Oryzias latipes: one gene and its partners. The protein of the gene in region 1 binds, or shares a complex with, the protein of each later gene. Links are inferred from orthologs where the notes say so. Each region holds a gene or a part of one and is shown in the gene's direction. Other genes may lie near its edges.

What was found.
Region 2: the proteins of klhl12 (region 1) and pef1 are in contact, whole or in part, in a crystal structure (PDB 8RBH), measured with the Homo sapiens proteins. The link is inferred for Oryzias latipes from reciprocal best matches to the Homo sapiens genes KLHL12 and PEF1. Residues at the interface, in NP_067646.1 of Homo sapiens: Phe289, Gln293, Arg320, Tyr321, Leu371, Glu417, Tyr434, Ile439, Phe481, His486, Cys511, Tyr512, Tyr528, Leu533, Cys558; in NP_036524.1 of Homo sapiens: Gly15, Gln16, Ala17, Pro18, Gly19, Ala20, Pro21, Pro22.
Region 3: the proteins of klhl12 (region 1) and pleckstrin homology domain-containing family A member 4 are in contact, whole or in part, in a crystal structure (PDB 8OIO), measured with the Homo sapiens proteins. The link is inferred for Oryzias latipes from reciprocal best matches to the Homo sapiens genes KLHL12 and PLEKHA4. Residues at the interface, in NP_067646.1 of Homo sapiens: Phe289, Arg320, Glu417, Tyr434, Ile439, Phe481, His486, Cys511, Tyr512, Tyr528, Leu533, Cys558; in NP_065955.2 of Homo sapiens: Pro177, Gly178, Gly179, Pro180.

Annotation. Positions count from the first base shown.
Region 1 is NC_019865.2:21,835,916-21,846,975, reverse strand, and holds the start of klhl12 (kelch-like protein 12), read left to right. Parts: upstream 1-4,124; 5' UTR 4,125-4,476; intron 4,477-4,575; 5' UTR 4,576-4,632; coding exon 4,633-4,690; intron 4,691-5,889; coding exon 5,890-6,116; intron 6,117-6,529; coding exon 6,530-6,683; intron 6,684-8,312; coding exon 8,313-8,530; intron 8,531-11,060. Other genes in the region: ptpn1 (tyrosine-protein phosphatase non-receptor type 1), read right to left, coding at 485-583, 2,178-2,278, 3,052-3,142, 3,689-3,745. UniProt on the Homo sapiens protein: Substrate-specific adapter of a BCR (BTB-CUL3-RBX1) E3 ubiquitin ligase complex that acts as a negative regulator of Wnt signaling pathway and ER-Golgi transport.
Region 2 is NC_019869.2:13,798,373-13,809,326, forward strand, and holds pef1 (peflin), read left to right. Parts: upstream 1-4,548; 5' UTR 4,549-4,631; coding exon 4,632-4,652; intron 4,653-5,391; coding exon 5,392-5,596; intron 5,597-6,551; coding exon 6,552-6,707; intron 6,708-7,264; coding exon 7,265-7,408; intron 7,409-7,488; coding exon 7,489-7,718; 3' UTR 7,719-8,945; downstream 8,946-10,954. UniProt on the Homo sapiens protein: Calcium-binding protein that acts as an adapter that bridges unrelated proteins or stabilizes weak protein-protein complexes in response to calcium.
Region 3 is NC_019877.2:8,350,411-8,361,382, reverse strand, and holds the start of pleckstrin homology domain-containing family A member 4, read left to right. Parts: upstream 1-3,775; 5' UTR 3,776-3,908; coding exon 3,909-3,952; intron 3,953-5,994; coding exon 5,995-6,064; intron 6,065-6,153; coding exon 6,154-6,252; intron 6,253-6,362; coding exon 6,363-6,435; intron 6,436-6,522; coding exon 6,523-6,623; intron 6,624-7,181; coding exon 7,182-7,300; intron 7,301-7,400; coding exon 7,401-7,992; intron 7,993-8,412; coding exon 8,413-8,472; intron 8,473-8,657; coding exon 8,658-8,783; intron 8,784-9,174; coding exon 9,175-9,234; intron 9,235-9,349; coding exon 9,350-9,430; intron 9,431-9,640; coding exon 9,641-9,793; intron 9,794-9,949; exon of another isoform or gene 9,950-9,969; coding exon 9,970-10,068; intron 10,069-10,435; exon of another isoform or gene 10,436-10,477; coding exon 10,478-10,586; exon of another isoform or gene 10,587-10,880; coding exon 10,881-10,948; exon of another isoform or gene 10,949-10,972. UniProt on the Homo sapiens protein: Binds specifically to phosphatidylinositol 3-phosphate (PtdIns3P), but not to other phosphoinositides.

The DNA of each region.
Region 1 (11,060 bases):
GTCATCTTTGGAAGCATTGTCATCACAACCTCATTTATTGATGATGCTGAACCTCAACCTGAACAACTGCAGCGCGTCTTCCGTCCCAATGGAACAGGTTCTTCTGGATCCATCAGACAGCATCACTTCATTTCTTTTTCCCTGGAGATAAATCTTTCATCTTCTTAGAAAACTGGCATTTTTCCTTAATGATCAGCGTGACTCCAGTGGGGTTTTTTTTTTTGTTAAAGCCACTTAACAAATATTTTAGACCCTTCTTTCTGTTGAAACCAGAAGCTTCTCACTGCTTCACTTGGGGTCAAATTAATAACTCGACTTAAGTTGAAACATAATCCGTGCAGCCGTTCTCTGAGGTGAAACGATTACCCAAAATGCCTGGTTAAATCCAGGTGGTGACCTTTCCTGGTCAGACCATGTGATTCAGCTCTAGTGTCTGAAAAAGGGCTCCGGTTACCACTGTGGATGAAGGAAAACACCAACTTACAGATCCTTTCTCGATGACTCGGTTCAGCATCACCACGCCACGGCTCCTCTGCTCCCACACCATCTCCCAGAAGTGACCACATGTACTTGGAAGGGGTCCCTAAAAATAAAAAAAGCTGCTTTAACCACTTGTCTTTATATTTATACTAGGGATTTTTCAGAACATAAAACATCTTTGGAGTAGTTTCCAAGAAGTTTTATTTCAAAAAAGAAAATAATTGAAGAAGAAGAAAAAAAAAAAGCTGCTTCAACCACTTATGGCTTTATCTTTGAGACTGTTCAAAACATAAGAACATAAAACCTCTTTGGAAATGTTTCCAAGAGCTTTCATCACATAAAAATACAAAAAAAACAAAAACCTCACTGTATTTGTCTAAAAGGAATCAAATGTTCATAAATCCAACACAAAAAGGGTCTTTTTATGTGTCCTTTTTTCCCCTCTTTTAGTCCTTTTTATTCAAATGTAAAAGCATTTTAAAGTATTTTATGTTTCAATCCATAAACCAAAAACTTTTACCAACACATACTTGCTTTTACACAACATCTCTAGTTGTTGGGATCATAAAAAAAACCTACAAGTCTTGTTGACACTAGAAAGTTCTGGACCAATCACAGAGCAGCAATTAGACCAAGTAACTCCACCTCCCTCTAATCGGCCACTTTTGATATTTTGCAATAAACATATTTTCTCTTATAAATAATAATACGAGCCTTTGTAGATGATCCTTTACGAGAAGACATGCCGCTGATGCGCCAGCCTAGACCATTCCTACTAGAGATGGAAACTCTTCAGGCGTGTGACCATCATTTATAGGGCAAAACATTGCATTTTTCACACGCTTTTGTTTCCAGGACAGTAGCGCCATGACTTTTTAAAAGCAAGTATGTTTATTAGGGATGCACAGAAATGAAAAAATTGTGACAGAAGCAGAACAAAGAAAGGAAAATGCTTGGCCGAACACCAAATAGTTACTGAATATAAAAGGTGGATGTTGAGTTTTTCATTATATTTATAAAAATTGGAGAAATTTTGGACGCTTTTGCTGCAAACTGCAGTTCTTAAAATACCTCTGCACTACTTACATTTTACACAATAAACAAGATCATTGATGCACATTAAGTAACAAAACTTTGAGCCCACCAAAGGCTGAATGTGGCTATTTTTTATTTTTCTTTTGCGATTTTCGTTGAAATATATTCAGTTTTAAAGTATTCAGTGCATCCCTAATGATTTATGAACCATAGCAGCCCCTTGCAGGTATTCCTTTTCACACAAGAGGAAACATATCTCTAACCATTGTTTGGTGCATGTCGCATTACGTTACTGACAAGTGACTGGAATCTAACATTTTTGCCGTTTTGTCAGCACGTCTGTCTCTAGATATGTACACAGGCTAAACGCAGGACGCCTTAAATCACGCTTACTGACTTTCCTGTTCTATTATCAGTTACAATGCTTTAAAAATGGTCTAAAATCTACTTTCACACACATACTATAGATTCTAGAAATAATACAAAGACAGTTATGTTAGACAGTGGATAAAAGCTTCTTGACATCCTTAAAACAATCCAAGCTAAACTTTTTGTTAAGGAATAAGGAAACTCCTGCTCTGTAATATCAGTCTTGTTAAAACAGATATTTTTATCATGGCTGTAATCATTTTGACATTAACTCTGTGGGAATATTTCCATACCTGAGTAAGAATATAGTTCCTCTGTGCCTCTTCAACTGTTATTAGGCTGGCGTTGATGTAGTCATTTGCACCCAGCTGCAGGCATATTCTGCTGTGGTCAACTGCGGAGAAGGACGTCCAATTGTATTTCTAAATCAGCAACAAATGGTAAAAAAACACGGCTCTCCAAAGGTTTAAAATGAGCGGTCACGGAGTTTCTGAACTGAGAGTGAGCGTTGTGACTACGACAGAACCTCAGAGCACAACTGAAAACAGCGTGAACTGGTTTCAGGTTCCCCATTTTCACGTCTGACTAAAGGTGGGGAATACAAACAGCAAAAATATGCTTCACAATTTGCATAGCTTCTTTAATGTGAAAAAGAGGAAACCACTGAAGTTCAGCTCTTGAACTGGGAGGTTATATTTCATTTATTATAATACATTTTGAATGCATTGTCTGAATAGTTCCTCCAAAATGATTTTTTTTTTAAAGACAGTTTTGATTGGTTGATTAGTTTCACCAAAAATATTTGGTAATCTGTTCAAAATTAACTAATATTATTGGAATTTACCCATCTATATTTAATATGTATGAGTAAAACAAGAGAACTTTTTATACTTAAATGGACAATGTATATATTTAGGCTGACGGAAAGCTTGTAAGTTAATCAGAAGCTAAGGTAAACATTTTGTTCAATCAGTTACTTTTATATTAGCTGGTGAATGCAGCCATTATTACCAATGATGCAACCACTGACTAAATAGATGGATGTGTTGATAAACACTGCTATACATAACATTATAGTATTTGATATTGGCTGTAGATTAAATTACATACCCCTAAATGAAACATCTAAAAACTCTGTAATGTTGTGATGTGTGAGGCGTTACTTACAGGGGCTGACATCTCTGTAACGGTTCCGATTCTTGTTTTCGGGTAACTTGGCGATCTTACAGGGAAGTTCACACGATTGTTGCCGAATCTCCTGTTAAGATAAAAAAACAATCACATTTGTTTAACATTGTCAAAATGTTAATGGTGCCATTTTTGTCCTTTATAACTGCATAAGTGTGTGAATACTCCGAAAAAACGATCAATAATATGTCATATAACAGTTATCAATCCTTCTCAAATAATAATGTGAATAATTTTTTTCTGAGAAATGCTTTTTTAAACGCTGAAAGTGTCATAAACTTAACAGCTATGGTGCAAAAATAATTTAAAGCTTTAAAATGACATGTGTTGAATTGCCTCATGGGACGTGCTGCCGGTTTAGGACCCGGGCAGACACATCCATCAACAAAAAAAAGGTCCGAGCACCAAGCGGAAAAAAAAGAAAGAAAAAAAAACATGGACCGGCCACACAGGGAACAAAGCCGGCGGTTAGTTAAAAAAAATATACGGAGAAACACGGGGACTGAACTGTACGACTCTGCTCATGTATCGTGGCGAAAGTGAGAAAAATGTTGGCTCAAAAAGTGACAGCTTCACCCATTGCTGCTTTCCACCTTGACATGTCGAGAGTTCCTACCTGATAAATGGCGTTCCAACTCCCGTTTTCATCGATTTCTAAAAATTCGGCTTCCATTGCTTACGATCCAGCGGACAGTCTTTTTGTTCTCCTCAATGATGCGACAGCGACAACACAGCGAAGATTAAACGAATGAAACTTGAACAGTTTCCTGTATTAGCTGCCAAGTGTTTGGCCGTTGCGATTCTTAGTACGGCTGCATAGATTATACCGCGGCTGAGCGGAAACACGCTGCTAGCTCCTCCTACCGTGTAGCTGACGTCCTTGGTGGCTAAAAAAGAGTAAAGTGAGTTTTTAGGCTCCAGTAAAACAACTGCTTTTGGCTGTTTTGGCGATGTAACTCGATTTTTAACTTTTAATGCAACTCTTTCCCCTTTTTAAGCGGTCATTTTACCACCCCCACAGGAGTAACACAGACAGGCGAGTGCGCGCCGAAGGCATCTTGTTTCTGGAAAGAAGAGCGTCCGGCTTGACGGGGAGCGCGCACGTACATTTACGTAGCGGTCTGTTTACGTCCAATCTGAGGGGGTCGAAGCTTCAGTTTGAGCAACGAAAGTGTTGCTTGTAAACACCGCTTAGCGCCATAGCATGGGGCTTTTTTAACATTTCGTTCATGAAAGTCCTTCCAGAAGCCGCATGTAGGCTGACTTAAATCATGCCGTGATGGAGTAATTATTTATTTTTCGGACAGCACGAGCTGGGACGACAGACTTTGATGCTAAGGCTAGTACAGTAGCTAGGAAAGCAACTTAGGTGTAGGGGTTGAATCAGCCTTACCGCAGTGACAGGTATTACGCACAATTTTTCGAAGTTCTTACTGTGTGTCGCTTTTATGTGCTGTCTCACTCTGGCCGTCAGTGTACTTCATGTGGCTCTCTTTTCCAAAGTTTCTGTCTGTCTATGTTAGCCATCAGCTGTCGCTGGCTACTGCTGCTAGCTAGCCCATGTGTAGCTATAGTTATTGCCTCCCAGTGGTGGAAAAAGTGTTCAGGTCCTTTAACGGTAAGTTGTTTTAGCAATACTAAAGTCACAGTGTTAATAGGGATCATATTTAACATTAATATCGTGGTTATAAACCGGGGAAGGTCTTTTGTTATCGGGTATTGTGGGAAAAACTGCAGTGAATAAAAATGTTTTTTGTTCTTGATTTTTATATGACACTGCAGTTGTATACTAATATAAATTAGCTAGTCTGCCGCGGCCGACTAAATATAGACAATTGCTTGCCTCAAAAATGAATGAAAGTGCTTGATAGTGTTTACTGTACGTTTGTTCTCCTTGGTTCTCTGTTTTTTTGTCTTCAGCCTCATTCATCATACTCCTAAGCCCTTTTTTTAATCCTTCTATCGTGGTTTATAAGAAAATGCTAACCATTAAAAGATGGGTTTGTAGTTTCACTCATTGGATTTAGTTATTTAAGTCTTATGTTTAAACTTTTAACATGTCAAGTAACTTACCAAATCCTAGTGTCAGAGTGGTTTATTACTAAATTTAGATCAAAGCACCTATTATCTACTGCTGCAAGTAGCTGTTCATACAGTCTTTAAAGTATATGATTGGATTCACGTGTATGTATGCATTAAAAAAGGGATTTTACACCAATGTTGTCATGTTGATACTCAATGATAAAAGAGGAAAAAGGATTATGGTGCACTAAAGTCAGATGTCAAATTTGACATAATGCATTTTTGATCCAAGTAAACCTGCTGCAGCAGGAGGATCTTTTTTTTTTAACTTAGGGTGTACTTTATTTTGAAAGAGACTTGAATGTGATGCTGTTAAAAGTAATAGAAGTAAAATTGTTACTGAAAAATTATTTTTTATAAATAAACAGCTTAATGACCACAAAAACCTAAGTAAGTGTTTCTAAACAATGAAGTGGGACTTTGCGGCTCTCTGTGGTTTTTGGTTGGTAAGAACTGGACTAAATGACTTATTTAGCATTAAGGTTTGCAGACTCCTGGTCTGAACAGTGATCATCTTTGTCCCTTTAAGCCACTAACATTTTATATTTCGAATGTTTGTAACGTTTATATTTAAAATAATAAAACGGCCAATTTGTCAAAGACACGTTGATTAAAGCAGTTTTGTTTGTGTCAGTTGTTTTTGTATGTCTTTTAAGGCTGCAGGAGCACATTGTTAAAAGAGAATGTTCAATGAGATGCCGTATTCACAGAGATTTTCTGTATTTATTCCTTTAGACTCTTGTGGAAGTTTGAGGTCCTTGAGGGATTCTCAAAGCAACATGGCTCCTAAAGACATCATGACCAATTCCCACGCCAAATCCATTCTCAATGCCATGAACTCGCTTCGCAAGAGTAACACACTCTGCGACATCACTCTGAGGGTTGAGAATACAGATTTTCCCGCCCATCGGATTGTCTTGGCAGCCTGCAGTGACTATTTCTGTGCCATGTTTACTAGTGAGGTAATAGTCTGTCATCTTCATCAGTCTGATCATCAATCCCTGTTTTTCACCATCTGTGTCAAATGTACTTCTTATGTCATTATACTGATTAAACTGATGTGTTTCAGAGTTTTGAGTAATGTTGCTTAAAAAAAATGTTAAACTAAACAAAAAGAGTTTGATTCAATGTGATAAAGATACTGTAGCATGCTCCTGCCACTTGAGGGCAGTCTCAGAAATATGAGAAACATTTTTCTGAATATAGATAAACTACAATAAAACTTTTCAAAGTAGTATATTACTTTCTAAAGTGACTTTTTTTTCTTAGTTTTTGCCCTTTTAGCCCCACATCTGTTATGTGTTCCATAAAGTACAGGATTACAGCTTAAAGATAAAAAAAATCATCCAGTTAAGCCTTTGTTTTGGTCCTCCAGCTTGCAGAAAAGGGGAAGTCTTTTGTTGACATTCAAGGACTGACTGCATCTACCATGGAGATCTTGTTGGACTTCGTCTACACAGAAACGGTGCTTGTCACGGTGGAAAATGTTCAAGAATTACTCCCTGCAGCCTGTTTGCTTCAGCTGAAAGGTAATTTTAATGCCTGTTCTAATGGCTAAATATAAAGATTCTCCAGAGAACAGGCTTTATAGTGACATATTTATCGTCTGTCTAATGCAACAGACATGAAATAAAATAGCTGAGGCTGGCTCTACTTGCTAGGAGCTGTTACTGATAAAATACAAGAAAAAGAGATGGAGGACACACAGAAAGTTAATAAATGTTGTTAAAAACATTATTGGGGTTAGAGGTATAAGACACATTCACTTTTTTTTATAATTCTCTTAAAAGTACCCAGACGTGTGTCTTTCTTTTTAGTTTGTTTTTAGTATTCTGTATTTGTATTTGGAGTAAACTTCAAAAACAGAATAACAGACACCTCTTTATTAGAAACAAAACAAGAATAAAGTCCTTCCATATTTGTTTAAGATGGATGAAACATTCACAAGTAAATCTCATAATTTCAAGTGACAAGATTATTTTTTTGTTATTTATTGAAAAAACAAACATCTTTTATAGTCTTTAGAAGTTTAAATGTTAGTTAAATGCCAAAAACAAGCGACTAAAAATGAAATCCCAGTGAAAAAGAAAAAGAAAAATGATTTGCAGGAACCCAGAAGAACAATTGCAAGGTCTAGCCTTACCAAAGAACACATTTGTACCTATAGTTCTGTCATTTTAAGGAACATTTGAATGTTTTTGAAACTTTTGCAGCTCCACATATAGTTTATACCCTTCTATAACTTTGTTGTGTCTATGGAGCAGAAAGTAGCCGCTGTTAAAAAAAAAAGAAAAAGAAAAAGCAGCTTTTACATCTTGAAATTCTATTTTCCTGAAGCTCACATTTTAATTTTGGATTTTTACGTTTTAATCAATTGACATTAACATGAATTTAATTAAACATCAGTACAATGTTCCCTCGTTTATCACAAGACTTGCATTGTAATAATAGCCCACAATCGACAACATTAGTCTTTTTCTTACAATCGTTATAGATTGTCACTACACACTTTCTTCACTTTTCTCAGACAACGTGAACATTTTCACAATTGTGTCTCTTGTTTAAACTCTCAAAATTCAGATCTTTATAGAAAAATTAGTCCAGGATTATAAAATTATCTGATTGCCATTGAAGATTTATGTGAAGAAAGCAGGACACAATTTGCTCTTTAAAAAAATGAATACATAAAAAGACACTCAAACATGCACCAAAACATTCTGCCAAGCAGAGACACAAAGATGAACAATATAGCAAGGAACACTGTACTGACCAAAGAAACATTGTTTCTCTGTTTTTTGTCTTGTTTTTAAATGTCCTGACTGACCAAAGTAACTAAAAATGCATCATATGTGAGCAGGCTTTCATACCTGTGGAGTCTGCATCACCATTACTTTTTTGGTTGTCTGCAACGTCTGATTGTGCGCAAAAGTCACATTTAAGATTCTTTATTTTGCTTTTAAAAGGTGTAGTTAGTTGTCTTTGTCTTCTAATATAAAGTCATTAGGAGTCTGTTAAAGTTATTTAGTCTTATTGTCTTTTCACAAATTGTCAGACATGCGAAATAAACAGTGTAAATCCTGTTTTGTTGTGTTTGTTTTCCTTGAAATGATACTTAAAGTGAATTTGTCAACTGTGCTTGGCTCTTTTTCTTCCCTCAGGAGTGAAAAGGGCCTGTTGTGACTTTCTGGAGAGCCAGCTGGATCCCTCCAACTGTCTGGGTATTCGAGATTTTGCTGAAACCCACAACTGCCTCGACCTGATGCAGGCGGCTGAGCTCTTCTCACAGAAGCATTTCTCTGAGGTGGTTCAACACGAGGAGTTTATGCTGCTGAGTCAGACAGAAGTTGAAAAGCTCATAAAATGTGACGAAATCCAGGTAAGGAAAGCAAATGTCTGCAGCCTTGTGCCGTCTTTTTAAATTTACTATTTACTTTTTTACTCTTAGATGTTCCGAAACATTTCGGCGAAAGAGTGCCACAAACGGCCCATTTCACCTCAATCGTCTGCACCACTGAAGAAGTCATTATTGTAATTACGTTTCCTCAGGACTGGCTTAGCTTGGCGTGAATTTAGCTCGTCTTTCACAGTTTTCTATTGTCTGTCAACACCTAAATAAGACAAGAGTAAAGCGAGCACAAACCTGCAGTAAACTCATGGAGGTCACCCCCCCCCCCTCCGTTTTTTAACTGGTCTGACAGTGAAATTGTAGAGAAGTGAACCTGATTTAAGTTTGCCTTTGTACTCAGAAAATTCCTGTTTTCCAAACCCCATGCATTGCTTTGTGAAAACACTGCTTATTATCACCCGATGATTTATAGAGCGTCATTTGTGTCAAATTGTTCGTCCTGTCATTTCTGTTGTTTTAGAAACTAGACTGCTGATTCAAAAACAGTCGCACATAATTTGCTGTGATCTGAGGTTTTTCTTTTATGTTCAAAACGTAAAGACCCACCATTTGTTTATGCCGATTATGTTTTTCAAAGTGTACATAGAAATCCCTTTATTCTTTCTTAAGTTACTGAAAGGCTGACAATAGTACAAAAGTCAGGAAATAGTCCATTTTAAATATGACAATAGCACCACAACTGTTGACCAGAAACATCTAACTTTAGTGGACTACAGGCAGAATAGCTTGATGTGTTGCAATAAAGTTTGGCATCGTTCTGCCCTAAAAAAAAAAAGTTTAATAAGTAAAAAAAATAAAAAAAAGTTTAAAAAAAAGAAATAGCTTCCAGGAGAACTTTTTCGAAAATTATTTACAAAAATGATCCCCTATAATGTAAATTTGAAACATTATTATTAAATATGTCATATGCAGTTTTAAGGCTATTTAATCTATTTAAACATATTCTTTTTTTCTGATTTGACTGTTTAATTGGCTTCTTTAAAGACCCAGAAGGTTTCCTAGAGGTCTTTTAATTATGATGATGTCGTTTTTACCCCAAATCTAACAGTCCGTGTCGTTTTCTAGAATATAGTTTCTGCAGAAGTTAATCAGAAATTCACCTGTGAGATGCTGGCGGGACTGTGGGAGCGCAGGAACCCCACACTATTCCCCTTCCCCACTAACTCCCAACTTAACATCAGTGGTGCAACAGAAACGTGAGCAATATAAAGAAAAACTCAGAAATGCAATTTCAAGCTTAATTTTCTTTGTCTATGTGCTCCAACATCAGAAAAATGCCACAAGAACATGTTAAAAACAACAAAAACACAATTTTCGTTGAAGAGCGTCTTAAAACACAAACTCTAGTCTTTTAGGGCTGCTGTCCAATGTGGTTTTTCATTTATTCTGCCCCTGCAACTTTATTTTAGCAAAATGCACCAGATCCAGGTAATCAGCAGCAAGTAGGATAGTAATATCTGAATAAATACTTTATAATGAAAAAAACTTAGGGGAAACATTGCAGATCCTAAATGTCCACCACAACTAACATCGTTTTCAGAAAAATTGGTGAAAAGCTACCTCAAAGTCAGTGACCCGTTGATCTTAGTTGTTATCTTTACACAATGCTTGTGAACTCGCTCAAAAATCGTGAAATCGTGACAGGCCTGCTTTACGCCAGGCGGTCCTTCTCCCTTGGCACATTTGTTTAACTTGTGTTTTCTTCAGCTTCCAAAAGAAGTCTCAATTATATAAAAAAAATCATTTAATATGTGAAAATCAAAAGCTACTTCTTTTAGTGCTGTCATTAAACTCAAAATGGTTCATATTGTTGATCAGAATTTTATCCAAAAATCCCTTTTCATCCCTCTGCTAGCACTGTCTCTAGAGCCTAAAATGACCATAATCCAAAGTTTGGATCACAACCGTTGCGTTTTCTTCTGAGGAAAACGACAAAGTCTTGTGCAATCCTACAATCAAAGTAATGCTGCTGTTGGATTCAGTGGGTCTTGTAATCCCTTCCCTTAGGTTTGCACTCGCATGCGTGTTAGTACATGTGGTTGTGCCTTTAGCAGGGAAAAGCTCTGTTGTTGAATTTATTTAGAGAGATTTCTGTGACTTGTGTTTTTTGTTCCATAAAAGCCCAACAGTCTTGGCTTTGTGTGTCTGTTTAATCTCCTTTAAAATTTCTCAGGATTTTCTGAATCTTTCAGGAATACTAGGGATGTATGTAGTTTGTAAAATAACATCTTTACATACAAACGTTTCTGTTTATTTATTCAAATTCATATTTTGTAAGATGTTGCTAAGTAGCCTTGCTGGTACTTCAGACTTCCTACATCTGAACTGTTTCTGGTATGAATGTATGGTTTTTCTTGAAGGGTTTATATCATGCTAAATCAATTTTTGAGCTCTTAAGTGTATTATAATGTTATTTCCTCACTATAAAGAACCCCATTAACGCAAAACCTGCTGCGCTCCAAGCACCAGCCCCTCCCAATCCACAAAAACAACTGGGTCC
Region 2 (10,954 bases), on another chromosome or scaffold:
GTAAAAGACGAAAATAAAATATTTCCTATAGAGCAGTTCAGATAAGAATCCTTTGAAGTTAGTTTCCTCTTGTTCAAAAAAAAATCACAACTTTCATTTTTGTTTTTGTAATATATTGTACTTAAGGTTTAAAATCATCAATACTTGCTTTATCAGTTATCATCACATCTAAAGAGTAAATGTTTTTAAAAAAAATAGAATATATTTTGATGTGTTTTATTTTGTATTTATTTTTGTAACCTATAAAGATGTATCCAAACATAGTGTGTCAATATTTTTGTATTCCACAAATACTTCATAATTATAAAATACCGTAGTATAATTACTATGTTCTTTGTCACCACAGAACAAAAAAAATAGTAAATAAACTAAACTAATCCTGACGTTTGGGGCTGTGAAACTACTGAATTGCGCAAGAGAGGAATTTTTATTTATTTATTTATTTTTTATTGAACAATTGCAACACACAGAACAAATATGCACATATAATGTACATTACAATTCTAAATACAGAATAAACGTGTTACATCCTTAGGGAGATTTTAATTAATAGTAATAATCACAAAATGGAATAAAAATTAAAAATACATAAAGAAAAAAGAAATACACATAGAAAAAAAGAGAAAATGCAAGAGTAAACTTATGTCAGTAGTCCAAAAGATTTACAAATGTTTTTTGAGCTTTTATATTTTTTGAAGCGGAAATTAAGTTTAAATATTGCTGCAGTTCCAATTTAAACACAAAGAAATCAGGTTTTTTTATTGGAAAATTTGCTTTTGTGAATATGAAATTTAGCCATAAATAGCAACATGTTTATACAAAAGAAAGCATCACGGTCTTTGAGTTCAAAACTATGAAAACCAAATAGTATGTTTTTATAATAAAGTTGTATATCAACAAAAATAGAGTCTGTGATAAATTTGTGAATGTTTTTCCAAAATTTGTATGTGAATTCACAAGACCAGAATAAATGAGAGCAGGTTTCAGGTTGTTTCTGGCAGAAAGTACAGCTGGTGTTTATGTCAGCATTAAATCTAATTAAATAATGTTTTGCTGGATAAAATCTGTGTAGGAGTTTAAAAGACATTTCTTTGATTTTATTTGTTAAGCAGTATTTTTATGGTAAAGACCAGACTTTTTTCCATTCAATGTTAGAAGGGAAATTAGCCCAATAAAAGGTAGCTAATGGAACAGAAACCAAATGATCTTGGAACAAAGCTCTGATTTTTGAGTTCCTCTGTTTAGCAGAAGTGAAGCAGAAACTACCCAGAGGAGATTTAAATGCATCAGGAGGATTTAGAGGAGGAGCGCTGTAGAAATCCCTCAATGACATGCAAAGCCCAGACGGTACGGCATCAAACACTACTGCAAATTTTTGGGGGGTTATTGGTATTTTATACTGCATTGTGAATTCTGAGTGGTTATGTAATAATCCTGGTTCTTTGAATAATTGATTGAGGAAAATTATACCATTATTAAACCAGTTACTTAAAAACAGAGTTTTGTATTTATAGACAATATTACAGGTATTGCAAATAATACAACTCTGTGGAAAAAGTTGTGTTTGCAGATCAGTGCCCAGGCTAAGAGAACCTGTTGATGAAAATTTGACAGTTTCAAAGGGATTTTTGGAATACTGTAGTTACAGCCTAGCAGGTCTCCTAACTTTCAGGCGCAATAGATGAGTTTTTTTTTTTTAACTTTATTGAAGATATACAAGATACAAATTCAAGTCAATTTTAAGTACACAGACAAAACAAAGAGTAACAAAATGTGCCAGGGGAGCATAAAGAACAAAAGAGAAAAAAAAAAATATAAATAAGAGCAGAAAAAGCAGCAAGTTGCTATTCTGTACATTTAAAAAATTCCAGGGTTTCAAACGTTCTTATAGCTTTGGGGTTGGAAGAATATTTTATTGCTTTGATATATTGGTTTAACTCAATCATAAAAAGTTTGAATAAGGGCTTTTTTTCAGAAAATTTGCATTTATGTATGTGGAATTTGGCTAGTATTATCAAAAGGTTAATTAAATAGTATTCCCTTCTTAGTGAATTATTAACACTATAAAAACCAAATAATACATCCTTGTATACCAAATCAAATTTTTCATAAACTTTACATCGAACGAAGGAGGTGAAGTCTTTCCAAAAAATTGCTGTTGGGGGGCATTTCCAGAAAAGATGTATAATTGTTTCAGTGTCTAATTTACAGAAGGAGCAGTTTTTATCAATGTCTATGTGGAGTGAGGATTTGGCTGGGTAGCATCTGTGAAGAAGTTTAAAACAAACATCCCGGGGTTTATTTGAAATAAAATATTTAGAGGACAAAGTCCAAACTTTCTTCCATTCAATATCTGGGGCAAATTTTCTCCAATAGTGGGTCACATATGGTACAACTGCAATATCTTTCTGAAACAGTGATCTTATTTTTTTATTTCTTGTAGATGTTCTTGTAAAGCAGGTCTTACCAATATTTGTTTCAAATAAAGAGACTGAATGTGAGGGCAAAGGGTGAACAATACCTTTAAATAACATTATAACGCCTTTAGGAATAGCATCCATGACTATTGCAAACTCTTTGGGGGTAACTGGAATATTATAAGTGGTCAAAAATTGATTATATGACATTAAACACCCTCCTGAGTCTCTTCAAATTAACAACAAAATTGAAACAGATCATAAAATTCTTGGCTCATTTTGCTCTGACTTTTACAACAAACTTTACTCTTCTAATTACTCAGAAATTAAAACGCGTGAGCTACTAGATTCTATTAAACATTGTAAGATTATCAGTGAAACACATAAAAAACTCTGTGATGCCAGTATAACCTTAGAGGAAGTGCAAGATGCTATAATGATTCTAAAAAAGAACAAATCTCCCGGTAATGATGGATTGTCAAGTGAATTTTACAAAAACTTTTCAACAGAACTTAGTCCCTTTATCCTGGAGACGCTCACTGAAAGTATTAATCTGGGAAAACTACCCCCTACTCTAACACAAGGTGTTATATCACTAATACCCAAACCTAATAAAAATAAACTACAAATTGATAACTGGAGACCTATCTCGTTACTTAATAATGACTACAAAATATTAGCTCTAATTTTAGCCAAACGAATTAAACAAACCTTAACATCTATTATAGACGAATCCCAATCAGGATTCATGTCTAATAGACACATTACTAATAACATCAGATTAGTTTTGGATTTATTGGATTATTCCGAACTAATAAATGAGAATAGTTTTATTCTGTTTTTGGACTTTTATAAAGCCTTTGATTGCCTAGAACATGAATTCATTTATCGATCTCTAGAAAAATTTGGGTTTGGACCATTTTTTATAAAAGCTATTAAAACTCTCTACAATAATTCTAACAGTACAATAAAACTTAAATATGGTACGTCTCCAAGATTTCAGGTGGGTAGGGGGGTACGCCAAGGCTGTCCAGTGAGCCCTTATTTATTCCTGCTAGCAGCACAAATGCTTGCAGCTTTCATCCAGGAAAATAACATCCATGGCATTTCAGTCGCTGATAAATACATTCTTATGAGTCAAGTTGCTGACGACCCCACTCTTTTTCTGAAAAATTCAGATCAAATTCCCGTTGTTATCAACCTTATTCATAAATTCTCAGAAGCTTCTGGCCTTAAACTTAATATAAATAAATGTGAACTTTTACCTATTTCAGAATGCGATCACTCAGTTTTACATGGTATACCTGTAAAATCACAAATTACTTATCTTGGAATTATGATTTCTAAAAACACAGAGGATAGATGAAACCTAAATTTTAATCCCATAATTGAAAAGACCAAAAAGAGATTTAACCGCTGGCTTCAGAGAGATATCACTTTAAGAGGAAGAACTTTATTATCCAAAGCTGAAGGAATCTCCAGATTAACATATCCAGCACTTGCCCTCAATGTTAACGCATCCACATGTAAAACCGTTGATAAAATGCTTTACAAATTTATTTGGAAAAATAAAACTCACTACATTAAAGATAAAGTGCTTTTGAACACAATATAGACGCAGAGGACTTAATGTCTTAGATTTCACCACCTTAAACTACACCTTTAAAATCAATTGGATTAAGAAATTTCTTAGCAACCCAGATTCCTTATGGAATTTTATTCCAAACTATATATTTTCTAAACTCGGTGGACTCCCTTTTCTTCTCCAATCTAACTATAACATTCAAAAGTTGCCCATTAAATTAGCAAATTTTCACAAAAAAAAAGCTTCTGGCCTGGTCTCTAATCTATAAACATTCATTTTCTCCTCACAGCTATTATATCTGGAATAATACTAATATTTTGTACAAAAATAAAATCTTTATTCTTCCCTTACTGGTTTCAAAATAATATACTCTATGTAAATCAACTTTTTAGCGCAATAGATGAGTGACTCATTGTTGAAGTATCACCCTGACGTCAAAAAATGGGAGGGTAAAACAAACGCTTTCTGTCTCGCTGTGGCCAAAGGGTTTTTATTTTTTAACCAATCAGCAGCCGCGCTAAACAATGTGGGGTTGATTGACATAGATATTACCCAATAGGAGCCCTACCCTGGCTTGAGACCCGTTGGTCCTCGCGGAAGTGGAGTCATTCAACGGAAAAAATTAAATCATGAGTTTCCATTACGGTCAGGTACAGAAATTGTAACTTTTTTGATTGTTTTTGTTTCTTTCATCTTCATGTATTTTAATGGTATCGTTTGTGGTAGACTTTTTAAATCTTTGTAGCATTTCGCTTCATTAGCAGGGCGTTACCTTGTCAGCATTCGTCACACAGTAGTACGCTTGCTAGCTTCGAGTTCGAAGAAGTGTCGTTTTTATTTTTAAGAAAACATATTTCACTCATAAATGCAAATCATTGTAACAATAGAATCGAGTGTATTTGAAGATATGTCATCTGTTAATCCAAGTCTTTGACCGAATCATTTTTAGCATGGACACTTCTGTTCTGGACTTTGATAAGTTTCCTGCTGTTTTTCAGTTTTTGTTTTATATTATAGTAAAACCTAACTTTGCAGTTGATTGATTATCCAAAAAAGCAATTTATTTAGTTGTTTTCCCATTGGGAAAAAATGAGCTTGTGTTCTATTTATTTAGGTTATCCTTTTGTTAATTTATAGTCGTTTATTTTGTGGATTTAGTAAAACGAGTCAAGAATAATTATTTTTCATAATGTGTGGAATCATAATGTGCTCTTCTGTATTTTCAAATATTGAAATAAAACGTGTAACAGAAACATAAATTGAACCAGCTTGTTTACAGTTTCATATCAACAAAGATGCTTTTATTTTGGAATACATTTTAACCTTTATAATCGTCGTATTGATTCACGTTCTCATTTACTGCTTCTTTTCATCTCCTTTGCCTTCCAGGGCTATCCAGGAGGGAGTAATCCCCCACCTGGAGCTCCGTACAATGGAAGTAGCAGCCCCTATGGGTCCCGACCCTCTGGTCCTTATGGAGGTGCTGCGGGGCCACCAGGAGGTCCCTATGGTGGCTATGGAGCCCCAAGTCAGGGTGGGCATTATGGACCTGGTGCTCCTGGCGGCCCTTACGGCGGCTACAGGGCTCCTGCAGGTGAGAATGAACTGCAACTAAAGAGTTTTTTCCAGAGTGATGCAGGAATCGACTCAACGGGAATTTCTGGGATTCAATAACGAACACTCTGTCTCTCATTCGTCTTTTTTTGCTACCTGGCAGAAAGAATAGATAGAAAAAGCTTTGGGTTCCCAGACAGTTTTTGTCCCTCAGCAGGACTTCATAGCTGGACTGATGACTGGTAATCTGGAGTGAGGGATGAACAGGGCGACAGACAGATGGGCAGATCGTGCGGGTTGCTTATGTGTAATTACAGTTTCCATTGGCAACTAAGCCCAAGTCTGAAGCCGGTAGCGTGTGTTACCGCCGCTCCCCGCGGGGACAGAATCCATCACGATCTGGCCTCAAGTGTCATCTCACCATCTCTGCCCATTTATTTTTCTGACAATCAGCCATCGCTCTTTTGTGCAGCATATTTTTGAAGGGCTCCTTTCATTTCTTACCGTCTGCTCAGGTAACAATGACTCGTTTTTTTCCCGGGCTGATCTTTCAAAAACCTTTAATTACATGTTTCCCTTAATTTCAGAGGCACTGAGTGTGGATATTAGAAACTCTTTACATCTGTTTTGTACTTTTAATCAGACGTTAACAAAGTAAAACTCAGATTTTATTTTTTGTATGTGGAGAAAATTGTTATTTTCCACTTTTTTTCTAGGACTTTTTAATCTTAAAGGCTGCGCCCTCTTCAGTTTACAAAACACAGCCTTTCTTGTCTATATGGATCATCATTTCAGCTGTCACTCCAAGGCTTTTTCTTCGTCTGAAAGATAATAATTGTTTAGCAGTGTGGCATGATTGCATCTTCTCTGCTGGAGTGTTTTTTTTTGCCCCTTTTTTTTTAAAAATCTACACAAATATAAAGAGTCTGTGATGTGAATTTATTATTATTATTATTATTATTATTCATCTGTCACTCGTGTTCCCCTCCGTGTAGCTAACACGCCCCCTGGGGTTAACCCCGAGGCATTCCAGTGGTTCCAGAGTGTTGATACAGACCGCAGCGGCTTCATCAACCACAGCGAGCTGAAGCAGGCGCTTGTCAACTCCAACTGGTCCACCTTCAATGACGAGACCTGCCTCATGATGATCAGTAAGTCCCACCGCTGCATGAAATTCAATGAAAATGACTTGAAGGGATGCAATGAAAGGAGGGGGCAGGTCTTAATGGTGGTGGGAAACGGACAGTGAGCAAGATTGACACTGTTTCAGCAGTTTTATGAATGATATTCAAAGTTCCTTTCTGATTATCGTTTGATCCATTTTCAAAGCGTTCTGTGGTCTTTTAGGTATGATGATGCCGTTTTTAGGCAAAAATCTTTTTCTAGGACATAGTTTCTGCAGAGGAGCAGGAGTTTGTCAGAAATTTGCAACTGAGTTGTGGGCGTGACGATTGGCGCAGAGCAAGCACACCTCCCCCCCCCTTCCCTTCACTGTTGTAAAGACCTTGGAGCAGGGAGTTTATTTCTGTCTTCCATCATTAGAAAAATGCAGCAAGAACATTTTAAAATCGACATTTTCATCAGAGCGGGTCTTTAAAGCAAGCATTTGTTTGGACTCTCTTAAATGCTTTTTAAAAAGCCTAAAGTTCTTGTTTTTCTCAATCTCTCTCTCTCTCCGCTTCCTTCCTGTGCTACTGTTTACCGTCAGACATGTTCGACAGGACGCGGTCCGGGCGGATAGACTTGTACGGCTTCTCGGCTCTGTGGGACTACATGCAGAGATGGCGAGCTTTGTTTCAGCAGTACGACCGAGACGGCTCAGGGTCCATCAGCGGCACTGAGCTCCACCAAGGTATCCCCACTTTCTGCAAAGCATGCCCTGCATTTTGCCTTCTAAATCCTCGTTTTGATTTTTTTTTTTTTCCTCCACAGCTTTAGTGCAAATGGGTTACAACCTCAGCCCCCAGTTTTCTGAGGCTGTGGTGCAGCGCTTCACCATTAGAGGCGTGCGTCCTGGTATCCAGCTGGACCGCTTCATCCAGGTGTGCACCCAGCTTCAGACCATGACGCAGCAGTTCAGAGAAAAAGACACAAGCATGACGGGCAACGTCCGGCTCAGCTACGAGGACTTCCTGTCTGGTGCCATGACGAGGCTCATGTGAAACCAGTCTTTGTCCCAATGTCGGGGAGCAACCCTCAAGTCACGTCAGATACGGTTTTTCTGTTTTGCCAAAAGTGCCTGCTGCACTGACTATGTTTAAGCACAGCCAACCCACACCCCACAAAGCCCTTCCTGCAGAAAGATGAGCGTGAAATTCATCATAGACAGGTTGTTATTACTTTCTAATATTCATCACCTGAAGGTGTTAAGTAAGAGTTAATGGCCGACGAAGTGTGCATCATCACTTTTTAACGCACGCCATGGAAGCCTGAACCGCGGAGGACGCTTGCTTCTGCGAAGTGCGTTAAAAAGTGATGATGCACACTTCGTCGGCCATTAACCCGCTTATACCATGGCCGCTTACAAAACAATAAAAATATTGACCAGTTTTTAGTCCTTAATTCTCGTTTTTTTCCGATTTGGATCGCTTTTCTCACAAAAAGTAACAAATAGTCTGCGTTGCGCCGCACCACCGCTGCAGTCAAGATTCGGCTATATATTTATGCTGATCATCACGATGAGTTGAATAAAGCATCAGTTCAGAGAGAAAGTTCACCTCTTACCGCTTGTTTTTGTCCAGATGATGAAGCTAAGCTAAAATTTTAAAGAAGCCAGCGCAGTGATAAAGAACGTTTAAACTATGTGATCGGAACTTCTTTTTTCACCGTGCGGTTATCCTGTGGTATATCACTTTTTAATGCACACCCAGCACCCAATCAGAATCGAGTATTCACCCGGACCATGGGATAACCTGGGGATGATGATCAATAACAGGCTGTTATTAGCTAATATTCGCTGTTAAAAATGGTTAGACTAATAGCAATTGTACATAAATTTCTGTGGTTATATGATGCCTCTTTCAGAGTAAAACTGACCAAATACCAGTGTCTCACACACTGTAGAGGACAGGAGACTAAACTCCTGCTGCAATGAACTCTGGGTAGTTTCGATTTTTTTTTTTTTTTAATCCAAATTTTTTTAATCCAATTTTTACTCTTATTTTCAACATGTATACTTTAAATTTAAATCCACTCTAAAATAAAGTCAAATTACATATTTTCAGAATTTACATCTTCTTTTTTTAAACTGTTTTTTTTAATTTAATCTCTTTTTGAAGTAACATTTCAGGGACATATCATCTTATTAGTAAGACGTAGTATTAGTGCCACTGTGAAAGAAAAATAATATTAATATACGAGAATAAAGTTGTAAAATTATGAAGAAAAAAGAAAACTAGAAGGAGCTGCATTTCCAGAAGAAAATGCAGGGTTGAATGCTGTACTGCTGAATGAAAGCTGAATTAGCTGAAGAAATGGCTGAACTGTACTGGAAAAACCTTGAAAAGTTAAAGGTGCAAAAGTCCTAGCAGGAATAAGCTGAAAAAGTTGAACATTGTAATAGTAGAATGGCTAAAATAGGTCAAAGTTTGTAGAAGGAGTTAAGCATGAAAGCTGAAAATGTTGGAAAAATGGCTGAACTGTCCTGGAAATCCTGGAATATTTTGAAAAGTTAAAGGACCAAAAGTCAAAGGTGAACATTGTAAAAGTAGAATGACCAAAACAGGTCAAAATTTGTAGACGGGAGTTAAGCATGAAAGCTGAAATTGTTGAAAAAAATGGATGTACTGTTGAAAATTTGAAGATGATGCTAAAATGGCTAAAAGTGCTAGCATCAGCATCATCAACTGACTCAAAAAACACATTGTTTGAGAGTATCATATTGGTAAAAGCTACATGTTCTAAGTTGATAGAAAATCCACTTTTTTCAAAATGGCGGCTTTTCTATTGATTTTATCTCCATAGCAACCATGTTATGTTTGGGTCGCCTGGGGATGACGAACAAATCGACGTCATTTTCAGACAAATCGGAAAAAGTAAACTTTTGGATGTCCTTAGCAACGAAGTTTGTTTGCTAACCACACCCACATTCCTTATATGTGCAGATCCAGTGAATTTCAATATGTTCAGTTCCAGCCATGGAAGAAGTTTATTGCAATGGTCACCTCAGAACTTGTCAAAAAATGGCCACCAAACAGGAGGTTGTGTCGACATCCCATAATTATTTCTAAACTTATTTTGTATTCCAAAGGCTTGTGATCATTTTAATGTTTGAACGGTGTCTCTAGGTGAAAATTTGAAGGAGTTTGAAATCGCCTCACATTTTTGCACAAAATGGCCGCCAAACTGTATGTGTGTTGCCATCCCATGATAATGTTGAACCTTATGTTGAAGTTTATAGCCTTGTGAGCATTTTAATGTTGGAACGGTGTCTCTAGCTAAAAGAATGTTAAAGTTACAATGGTTTAAAGAAGCAAAGGTGTGGCCAATGGAGCAAAAATCTTGGAAAATCCGGGAATAACCGGGAATATCTGGAAAAGTTCAAGGATTTGAAGGACAGAATGTCATAGCTGGAATAAGATGAAAGAGCTCAACATTTTAATAGTTGAATTTTTAAAACAGGTGAAAAATTGTAGAAGAAGTTTAACTGTGAACTTCTGCACAAAAAATTCCCCATGTATTTTAATGGAGCAAAAATTCCTGGAAAATCCTGGAATATCTTAAAAAGTTGAAGGATTTGAAAAACCAAAAGTCATAGCAGGAATAAGCTGAAAGAGCTGAACATTTTAATAGTTGAATGGTTAAAATAGGTTGAAAATTGTAGAAGGAGTTAAGTGCCAAAAACGGCGGAAGATAGCAGAAGAGGAAAACAAAGGGGTGAATGCTTTACAGCATTCAACCAATGAATGCTTTACAGCATTCAACCAATTATTTTCGATGATGCCCTAAAGCTGCGTCATATATAATTTTTCAGGCTTTTACATAAAAAAAAGGAAATTCTTTTTAAAAACAAATTTTCTTGTGATGAAATTCCACGTTTTCTTAGAGCAGAGCTGTTGTTTGCCCTTCTGACAATTTCTGTTGAGCCAAACTGCACAAACGTTTACCCGGCAACAGCAATGGCAGGAACAAATGGAGGCTCACTGGAAGGATGTACATCTGCTGACCTGCAGCTCTGAAACATTCCTCTGCTAACAAAAGGATTTAACTTGAATAAAACATGAACACAAAAAAATAGAGCTACTTAATGTCTCCTGAAGGCACTTTGATGCTCACAAAGGGCATTTTGTCATCCAAATATTACACAACGAAAGGTCACATGATGCATTTTACTGTCATATAGTTTTGCTTTTTAATTCTGGAGGAGGACATAAGAAAAGTTTCAAATGGCAGAAAGATG
Region 3 (10,972 bases), on another chromosome or scaffold:
CTGCAAAGCAGAAAAACAACTTTAATTTGTTTTAAATCTAAAAAATAACTGTGAACTGTGTGCATCCTTTTTTTTGTATCTATGATATAATTTTTTTTCTTTGCAAACTTTCAAAGACTGGCTAAACATGTACAGTTGATTGTCCTATGCCGAGAAGGAAAGACAATTTGTAATAAATTGGCAACCTAGCACACATAATTTTTGATTTGGAGGAGGTATTCTTGTCATCTATTTCTGGATTTTTTTCCACACTTTAAACCGTGTCCTAGCTTTGTGTTCAGGCTGTTCCTTCATGAGCAAAGCATGCTTTCACTTATGTCAGGCATGTAAAATGGTTGTAATTCATAGGCAGTGCCATGACCAAAGTTGCACTAGTGATACCTTCACCGCAGTGTCACATGTCATCAGGGGGGGTTCAGTGATGTGTGCATGTGCACTGTAAACGAACATCTAAATTTGCAATTACAAATTTAGATGAATAATGTGTCACCAGCTTCTCCTCATACAAAATTTACGAGTTTGATGTTTACATTTGTGCTGCACCTTGGGAAGTTTGCACTGAAAGGCTGGATCAGAAATAGCGTATCATTTCCTCCCATGGTATCGTCTCTTTTGACCCGCTGACATCCTTAGGCGAAACACAGCCACCATCAAGGGTCGAGCAGATTAACAGAGATGGTACTGCTGCGCGTTTTAAAATTCCAACATGGATTCATAATTAATAATACGTTGCTTCCACCGGTGTGCTTGTTCAGCAGATTTGCTTTTGTCAAACACATGTTCCAAACACAAACAAATGTCTGCTTATACAAGAGACCAATTTGTAACAGTTCTTTGAAAAATGCATCCACAAACTTAATTAAAAGTCAAACGTAATTTAAATTTGAGAAAATAACAGTTTTGACGATTTTATCTAGGTCTGAAGTGGTTTGTTTCTCAATCTAAAAGTTTTAAAGCCTTTTTACTTGGTTTCCCTCTACTTGCCCAAAAAAATATTAAACGTGCATTTGTTGGTAGTAGTACTTTTGTTAGTTCATTATTTCTTGTTTATGTAGAAATTGTCAAAACTCTGACTTTTGCTACGTGAATTCCTAATGGAACCAAAAATGTGTCAGAAGATGTATGAAAAAAAATGTTTCAACACCGCCACCTGCTGCATATTTTTAGATAGTACATCACAAAAAAAGAACACAAAATAAATGGATTTTAAACATCAGTGCCAGATTTTATAGTTCCATGTATTTGTTTTTTTATTTGCCTCTTTATTGCCAAATAGAAAAAAATAGATTTCATCCTAAAGCTTACTTCACCGATTCAACCCAAAGAGAATGATAATGAAAGTGACACACCCAGGGAGGAATGGATGTCAAGGTAATTAATCCTTTTATCCATCTGTTCTCGGTTTTTTATACCCATCCTGTTTAAGATCACAGGGTGCCTGAAGCCTATCCAGGATACAAGTGGTCCATCCAAGGCACGTGAGCTTTAAAGGCAAATGTAAACATTAATTTCTATTCACTTGTATGTAATGTGTACTTAACTCCTTAACTTTTGGAGTGAGCTCCAGATTGGATGTTTGATGCATACAAAGATCCTTTATTATAAAGGCACACATGACTTTGTGTTAAACTCAAGAGAAAATTTAATTTATCAAAATTCAAGTCAATTTGATTCCTCCTTCAATCTACTAACTCTAAAAAGTTACTATCAATTCCTGTTTTTGCAGTCAAAATTGTAATAAACAACTGTTTTGTAGTTCTGATAACATGTTTCTACAGTGAGATGTGAACCACTTTATTACATAAACGTAGACTAGTATGAATTCCATCCATCCATTTTCTTAACCAGCTATGTCACTTTCAGGGTCGCGAGGAAACATCAACTCCATTTTTTTAAACAGGCAAAGTTTCCGATCTGCAGGTTGCGCACAGGTTAATCAGTAATTAAAACCATTTATAAGTCCTCTGAATTTTGTTAATATGTAAGGGTTCATAAAACTGCAGGCACAGATTTTAGACTTGACTAAGAATTACATTTTCTTTTACCGCATTTTGTAAACATTTCAGTGTTTTAACCTCCACTAGGCAGGTCTTCAGTGAAAGAACTTAACCTTTCACCTGACTTCTCTTTTCTTATCCACCTCTTAAAATGCTTCTGATATTTTCCTCTGGTGGTTTGGTAATGCCTGCTTTCGTGAGGCCTGCTAGCTATCTGCTCTCACCCCCTCAAAAAATGCTTTTGGCAAAAAAACATCTTTTAACTGAAAGCACTTAAGTATTTTATAACACATTAATCCGTACAATAGATGACAAGTCAAGTGAATTAAATCCCCTTTATTTGTGTGATGAACATATTCAGGAGCACAAGTTCCTAATTCATGGGACAAATATCCTGTAACTTCAATGTTGTCTTTTAATGATTTTAATCATAGTCTATATACCTGTCAAGGTTTTTGGAGTAATTCTTCACAGTAACCAAACAAGGTGTGGCAATGGAGAGTACAGTTCCCTCTGAATGAAAAAAAGAAAGAAACCTCCTGGAAAAGCAGGCTATGTGAGACCAATTATCTGCCCTAACCGGTTTTGACAAAAGAGACAGATAAGCACAAAAACAGTGGAAAATCAGTTCTGACATCAGTAACTGTAGCATTGACAGAACAGGGTAAAATTAACGGACCGAAAATCCAGAGAGCAGAAAAGATATGTTAGTCATTACAGCAGTGAAAGAACATGAAGCAAAGAAACTTAAAATCACAGGAGAATTAATTCAAGCCAAAAGAGATCAGTTAATTACTAAAACAATGAGAGAGCAAGAAGGAGACAGACCGACATAAATACACTGAAATCTTTTATAAAACAAAAAAATTACATTAACAAAATCTACATGCAGATGAAGGACGTACAGTAAAAACATTGGGGCCAAATACGGACACAGCCGTAACAAGGACTTTGTTTTTATATTGTGTAGTGTGTTCTAACAAAAACTTAGTTTGTAACAGTTTTCATTGAATGAAATAAAGTGCATATCTATTAAAAGTTTCTTCATCAGTTATTCACATAGCAAAAAAAAAATAGAAAAAAACTTAAAACAAGGCGTCTGTAATTAAGAAAAAAACTTTTTATTCTTAATTGTGTTTACCTTTTGTCAGTAAAGCAAACTAATTCTGCATTTAGATTTGTACCCTTGGGAGTTGGTCAGTGGAGGTTGCAGTTGAATACTAATGAGTCCAGAGTTTAATAATCTCTACGAAGACAACATAAATCTCAAAAAGCTTACTTAGACTGAAAAGACAAACATTTATTTAAACAGTTCATTTATAGTGTCGCCAGTTTAAATTTAGAGATCTTTGTTTAAACTTTACTTTTTTCAAAAATATTTGACATTTTTAATGAGTAACTATGTCAAATGTTAAATAAGTATTAAACCCAATTTCAAATTTACAGCATTTTAGGTCAAATTCCTCTAAAAACAAGAAAATATTTCAACGAAATGTCCTTTTTTTCATGTTCTGATGGAAAACCATGACTTCTAAACTCAATGTAAGAAAGCAAACAGAAAAATACAAATAATACAAATACAAATAAATAAATAATTTGAAAAGAGTTCTTACAAGATGAACTTCATTTTAACAGATTATCAGGAGCAGACAGAGTAGAAGAGGGAGGGACAGAGACAAAGAAGGAATGATGAGAAAGAGGCTTACAGAGAGTTCACTGTTAGAAAACAGAAAAGCAAAGGAGCGTAGGTAGAACACCCATTTCACTCCACATCTCAAGAAAGTCAAACTGTTTGCTGCAGACAGACAGCTTCATCAGTACATGGAAAGAATAGCACAGGAGAGTTGTGCCTAAAGGCAAACAGGGGCTTAAAGGCAGCCATACCAGAGGATTCTGTGAGGAAGAAAACCAATGATGGATCTGAAAGTAGACAGCAGGAGAGCTAAACTATTAAGGTATGGTAATTTATGGCAGCTTTTAAAATAATCAACATTGTCATTTTTAATAACTTATCTTTCATTTTTTTTGTTAACCACTTTTAGTTGGTTTGTGTTCCTGGTGCTTGTATCTCATAGTACTGTGAAGCAAAGGTGCTGATATGATATATCATCTCTGCCTGAAACAATGCAGGCACCCTTTTTCCATGTGAGGCTGTACTTCCTCATTTATTATTATTTTACTTTGTGTAAAATCATTAATTATTATTTTTAACAGTGGATTGGTGTTCAAATCACAATTTTTTCTCATAAGGGACAATTTCATTTTGGCCTTTTGTTTGACTGTGAGATAGTCAAAGATATGCAAATGTTTGCTTTAGACAAAAAGTATTATTTTCCCAGCAAATGTATTCAACATAATCCTTGTCCAGCTTCACATGACATTTCAGAGTCTTCGGGCGTCACAAAGCTCACTCTGTGTCATACACAAACCCTCCGTTTGTCCTCCCCAACATCCCTCTTTAGCATTTTAAGTCCCAACTTCTCTCAGTAAGAAACCCTCTCTGATCAAGGAGGAGATTTTCAGAATATTTCCCAACACCCACAGAACCCCCAGCAGCTTCAGAGATGTTCATTGCCTCAGATTCCTCACAAAGAGGCGATTGTTGTTATCCTTTTTACTCCGAGGCTTGCGGGTTGGAGATTGTGGTTGATTTAGACTCAGACTGCTGATGCCAAACCTTACCAAACCCTGTGGCAAGTGTGGGAAAACTCTCATGATGTTCTTATCTATGGGTTCATTTGTGTGTCACAAAGGTCAAAAAAGCACAAATTTCAAGATTTGATTTGATTTGATTTGATTATTTGAAGTATTAATTGTAGTCATTATAACAAAAAAATGACACAGATATAACAAAGAAGGAATATTGGTAATCATATATACAGATTTTTGCAGTAATACATAAAAAACACATTTAGGTTACATTCGATTCATCAAATGTAACTAAAGTCAAGTAGAGTTTGATTTATTGCTTGAAAAAGAGTGGGAAGAAACAAAATAACACAATCCTACCCCTACTGGGTTATTACATTTCATATTTTGACATAGTTGTCATAATCCGGTTCTTATCAGACCGAGTCCAGATTTTTTTAAATAGAGTGCTTATTGACTACCCTCACAAAATATTCTTTCACAATTGCAGTAGGTAATAACATTACTTTTTAAAATAGATTCACTTGGACTAATTTTTTAATTGTTTCATTTTATCAAATTGTTATATTTCTACATTTATTGGGGAATAGTTTTTAATTTTTAGAACAAGGCAGAAAAATTTCACATAAATTATCCCTATATATGAATATAGGAGTGACAGATACCTAATGTATGAGACAAATGGAACTATAGCAAATAAGCTGATTAAATTTTAAGAGAAAACATGAACTCAATATGCGACTTCTCTGTCCTCACAGCATACAATTTCATTTTAGTTCTTCCATCCACACGATGTAGTTCTGCAGTCTAGCAAACATTTCGGACCTTGCCTCTTCATACCAGCCTGCCCCATACTGCCAGATTAGTTTCACACACTCGGGGCCCCTCCCTGCTACCACGGCGACGCAGCTGTCACCTGTCAGTTCCATGGTGGGGATGTCCGCTGGCCTGTTATGGCTCAGAATAGAATTGTGGGAGAGTTTTGCAGCAAGTGGGAGAGCACCACATTAAATTGATGAATTTTTGAACAAGAAGAAAAGAAATCTCAACATTATGGGAATGCAATGCATGTTCCTGGGAATGCTGGGAGTGACTGGCTGCTTTTTCAAGAAGAGAGTGCACTGGTAAGGTCTTATATCTTTGCAAAAACAAGCCTACTGTACGGTATATGGGTAGCAACTGGGGGTTGTTGCTAAGTCCTGCTAGGAACTTCTGTTTTATTACACATGTGGCTAGAAAGGGGAATTGATTCATCTATCTTTGGCAACTAAGAAAAAATATTTTTCTTGTTCACTTTTCTGAATTTTTTTCACTCCTTGACACTTTTTTTCTGAATGTTTTTGTGTAGAATGGATGACCAGGACAGAGTGAGCCAAGCATCTAGTGTGGCCACAATTTCCTACTTTCCTGTCATGACGGTTTGCTTTCCTTTTTTTGAATTTGTTTTATTCTAAAGAAAATGCAAGTGTCATTGTGTGCTTTTAATTCTGTGTCATGTTGTAAACAGGAAAACGATGGAAAGGTTCAAACGTTTGGGAAGAGATGTCAGGCTGCCAAAAGAGACCCTAACTGTCCTGTGGTCATTAGGGGATGGCTAAACAAAAAAGTACATTTTTTAAATAATTATAATGAAACATACAATGATACAAATTTCATGTGAAACAGTCTGAAAGTTTCCATATTGTATTTTTACCTTAAAAACTGTCTTTTTGGCAGGATAGCTCTGGTCTGAAGCTTTGGAAGAGAAGATGGTTTGTGCTCTCAAACTACTGCCTCTATTACTATAAAGGTAGGAGCGGTGACAGCTGGATGTTTCTATCTTAATTAAAAACTATGAACAATGTTTTTTTTCTTCACACTGCGTTTGTGTCCTCAGATAGCCGAGAAGAGTCGGTGTTGGGCAGCATCCCTCTACCAAGCTACAAAATCCTGTTCTGCACACCAAGGGAATGCAAAAACAGAAAGTTTACATTCAAGGTATCCTGCATGTTATTATTGTTATTGTTATGGAATCAAAGTCCATGCTAAATGTGTATGCGTTAGAAATCCCAAGGCTGTGAAGCTCTAAAACCTGGAAGCTAAGAAAGTTTGCAAAGTTCACGCTTTTTATGGGTCTTGAAATGTTTTCCTAATTTTTATAAAATATTGCTGGATATTTTGAGAACTCTTGGTGGAGCTCCTACTGTACTTTGCATGAGTCAGGAATGTTTCATGGTGGAAATGTTTTCTGAGAATCCATTATTACAGGCGAACTAATGCTCTGTAAGTCAATTGGAGTTTGGGTAAAAATCCTGCAAATCCAAATTTTAAAATCCTTACCCCAGCTGCTGTGAGACCTATGTGGACAGGTTGACCAATAATCAGGCCAACCTAAGGCCAAACCAGGCAAACTATGAGACTTTCCTAAAATCAATAGGTAACTTTAAGCAAATATTTGCAAATAAGAGTAGTTTTTGGAGCGCGGGGCAGCAAACATGTATTTTATCAGTGATAAGTTTCATTTAGCCTATTTTCTTTTGTACATCTGTCCTAAAGGTGGTGCATCAGGGCATGCGCTCCTACTTCTTCAGTGCTGACACTCAGGAGGACATGTTGGGTTGGGTTCGAGCCCTCAGTCAATCTGCTGCAATGGAGTTGGATGCCACAATTAATAGGTACAGCTCACGCTTGTGAGGGGGACTTTTTTTTCCTTGATAAAAGAGAATGTCTATGATTGTTATTTAACAAACCTTCTGTTGTTTTTGATCCTTACAGGCGCTGCTCGAGTTATCAGGATTTTACCTTGATCAGTGCCAGCACAGAATCTGTAGATTTTCCCAAATCTCCCTCAGATGAACTGAGTCCCTCTCAAAAACACAAGCATGTCAGCAGAACCCTGAGTGAACCGAGCCACCTCGGTGGAAGAGTGGGGAGGTCACACTCGGAGCAGAGGGGCAGGCGGAACATCCATCACAGAAACAGAAGGTTGGTAAAGCGGATGACAAATCATCCACTTCAAAGCAAAAGAAGTTTGCTTTCAATTTTCATATTTTGGTTTTTCCACAGCCCTTCAAACCGAACACCAAGCCCTACAGTTTCAAGCAGAAGAGCTGCAGGTCCAAACATGGAGGAGGATTCTCCTCCTGATGAAAACACAGCAATGCCAACAGAAATCAGTGGAGCAAATTCTTTAACATCAAGAGGACAGCTGGGGTCACGACCTCATACGCCCATGGGACGCGTTGACATTCGCCCCCGTGATGACCCAGTTATTGTGCAGCAGACCCTGTACTATGCACCTGCCTCACCAAAGCCAGAATACAAATCTGCACCAACCACTCCAGTCACTGAAAGGTGGCAAACCAAGGTGAGAACTTATTTTTTAGAAGTTTGGAAAACACAAAAACTGAATCAAGTTTTCTTGCTGTTACTTTGTTTGGCTACCTTATATGGTTCAACGACAGTTTCATAATATGTACAAGTTTGATCTAATGTACCATAAAAAGCTAAACATGTCTTTATTAATCGATCAGAGACTTGAAAATGTGGTAAAAAGGCTTGTATATGTTAAAGGTGGGCAGCTTGAAAAATTACTTGTTCTGCACAACTTAGGTTAAGAAAACTCTTTAATTCAGTATACTTCATCTACTATAGCATTCTTCAAAGCACATTCTTCATTTTGAATATTTGTACAAAGTAAAAAAAATTTAAAAGAAATAAATCTTACAAGATATCTGTAATTTTACGATTTTATCAGATTGATTGTTTTTTATTTCTTTCTTCAAAGCCTGCACCCATATACGGGGCTGTCCACCATGCAGCTAGTGGACGAAGGCCTCTGGGCAAGGTGACTATTTAAAATAATGCAATAATATAAAAGACATTCATTCAAAAATTTTCAGAAATTGTGCAGCTATTTCATAATTTGACTGTTAATTCAAACATGCTTTAACTTACGCTGCACAAATGCACAGTACGTTCAGTCAAGCATGAGAGGATTTCTTTTTATATACTTGCTGTATCTTCCTTTAGAGCCTCTCTACTGGTGCAGACTTACTGCCCCCTTTACCCCCCTCATCACGAGCTGCACATGCTCTTCACCCACAACAACACCACCAGCGCAGCTTCGTATCTGCTTGTATGCTACCGGCAGCTATGGTACAGACATGCTGGCTGATCTGTGCTCTGTTCTCGTGCCGTTATGTTCAGTGCAATTTAATGCTACTTTGTGCTAAAATAGATTTTATTTTATATTTTGTGTCTAATCTTATTTTATTATTAAAACCTAATCACATTTTTTGTTTTTGGAAGTATAGGATGTACCGGTAATTGAATTCAGTGTATTTACTAGTAGTTGTATTCATTTTATTTCCTTAAATTTGTTGAGGGATAAACTTAAAATGTGGTTGTGGCTTACTCAAGTTTGTGCAGCTTGTGTTCTGTTCTCTAAAAAAAATCAATAAAGTTTTTCTTTATCGAATACACATTTGTATTATTAATGATAGAAATTTCAGAAAAAACTGTAACAATACATTTTAAAATTTCATAGGCCTCAAATCCGGACCCGAGGGAACTGCTTCCAATCCGTCCACTTGAAAGCGATGCAGATGTGAGTGATGTCTGCCTAAGACACGACTGGAAATTAACCAGAATGCAGTGGAGCCTTCAAAAATGAATGACACATTTCTTTTTGAGAAAAGATGAGTCGGATTTTTGCTCTTCAGGCTGTGCTGACAAGGCTGTGTGGGTGCGACAAGCTGTTACAGTCTCTTTCCGGAGAACTGGCTCAGCTACAAATTGATAAGGTTGGTAGATTAAATGTATTTACAAATTGAAAATATTATTTATCTGGGGAAAAAATAATTAAGCTAATTTAGTATATAGATAAGCTAAGAGGATGAAAAAAGTCAAACGTATTTTAAGAAAAATATAAAAGGAAGAAGACATTTTCTCCAATTTGATAATTAATGTAAGAGAGAACAAGTATGATAAATAAGAGGTTTCTTGTGTTTCAGGACAGTGTCCAGTGTGCGTTGGAAGTTTCTCGACTTCAGGTGGAAGACTGGAAGAACCAGGGGCCACGGGCACTTGAAGAAGTTCTGACCCAGAAAGCTTTGCTACAGGATGAGCTGGTCACGATCCGGGCGAGAATGTGTGATGTGTCACTGGTGTGTAACAAAACAACAGTTAAGAACAAAAATTAAAGTTACTGTACTTATTTCTGTTGAATCTGCTTCGTAATTTCAATCAAGACAAAATTTGACAAAAAAATATTCAACTTTTATATGTTTTTTTGTTTTTGTTTATCGTGATTGTGCACAAACCTTTTTACTTTTACATTCAGGAAATGGAGAGGGTGTGGAGTCAGTATGAGAGAATGGAAAGTGAACTGTCTGTTATCCGTTCACACCTGCAGCACATCTGTAATTTTGGAATGCCACAGGTAACTTTTTATGACACACCGGAAATCTCCAAACGCTTAAATGAAGGCATTTGGTCAGAATGGATCTTTTGGTTACAGTATTTCCAAAATGTGGGTAAAAATAATAGTGGGGTGGCTGAATTGTTTAAAATCTGGATGTAAATAGCAATACACAAGAGCTTCCAACCTTAATTAAGCCGTTATCACATAGTTTGGATTTGGTTAAAAAACAGTAAAAAAAATCACCGTTAAAATAAAAAACTTAATTAAATTTAAAAAGTGTGTTTTATAAGTATGAAACTAGAAAGAATTAACCATTTCTTGTATTTGCATCATCAAAAATGTATTGTGGACCAACAAACTATAAATTGTGAATCTCTGTACTTACCTGTGTCAAAGGATTTGTCACAGATTTATCTTCTCTGTTTAGGAGCAATCTCAGGCTCAGAGGGAACTGTGGATGATGGAGGACATCCTTGATGGATTAAGAGTCAACAGAGATCACATTTGTTTCCTGCTGAGAGTACAGAGACATCACAGTGAGCAGCACAGCATACATCTCGCCTCACACGATAATCTTGCTAGTCTCCTTCTCGTTTATCTCATCCTAAGGCCACACTAAATATGTTCCCCTTTAGAATGTGATGCTTGTTTCGTTTTTATAAAGTAGCACTATTGTGCATGTAAAACTTGTTGTGTTAGTTGTTTGTCTGTTGTCTTGCCTACAATTCTAGGTCATTTTAACTGAAACACTTTTAAAAAGTGCTCCTGATTTCTTGGATCATGAACAACTACAAAAGAAAAGAGTCAGAACATTTATGTTCTCCTTTCAGCATTCCAATCTTTGGCTCCACATCCTGGATCTCCTGGATCTCCCATGGAAAGGCCACATAGCTCACTGGTGAGCTGTCTTAATTAGGTGGCT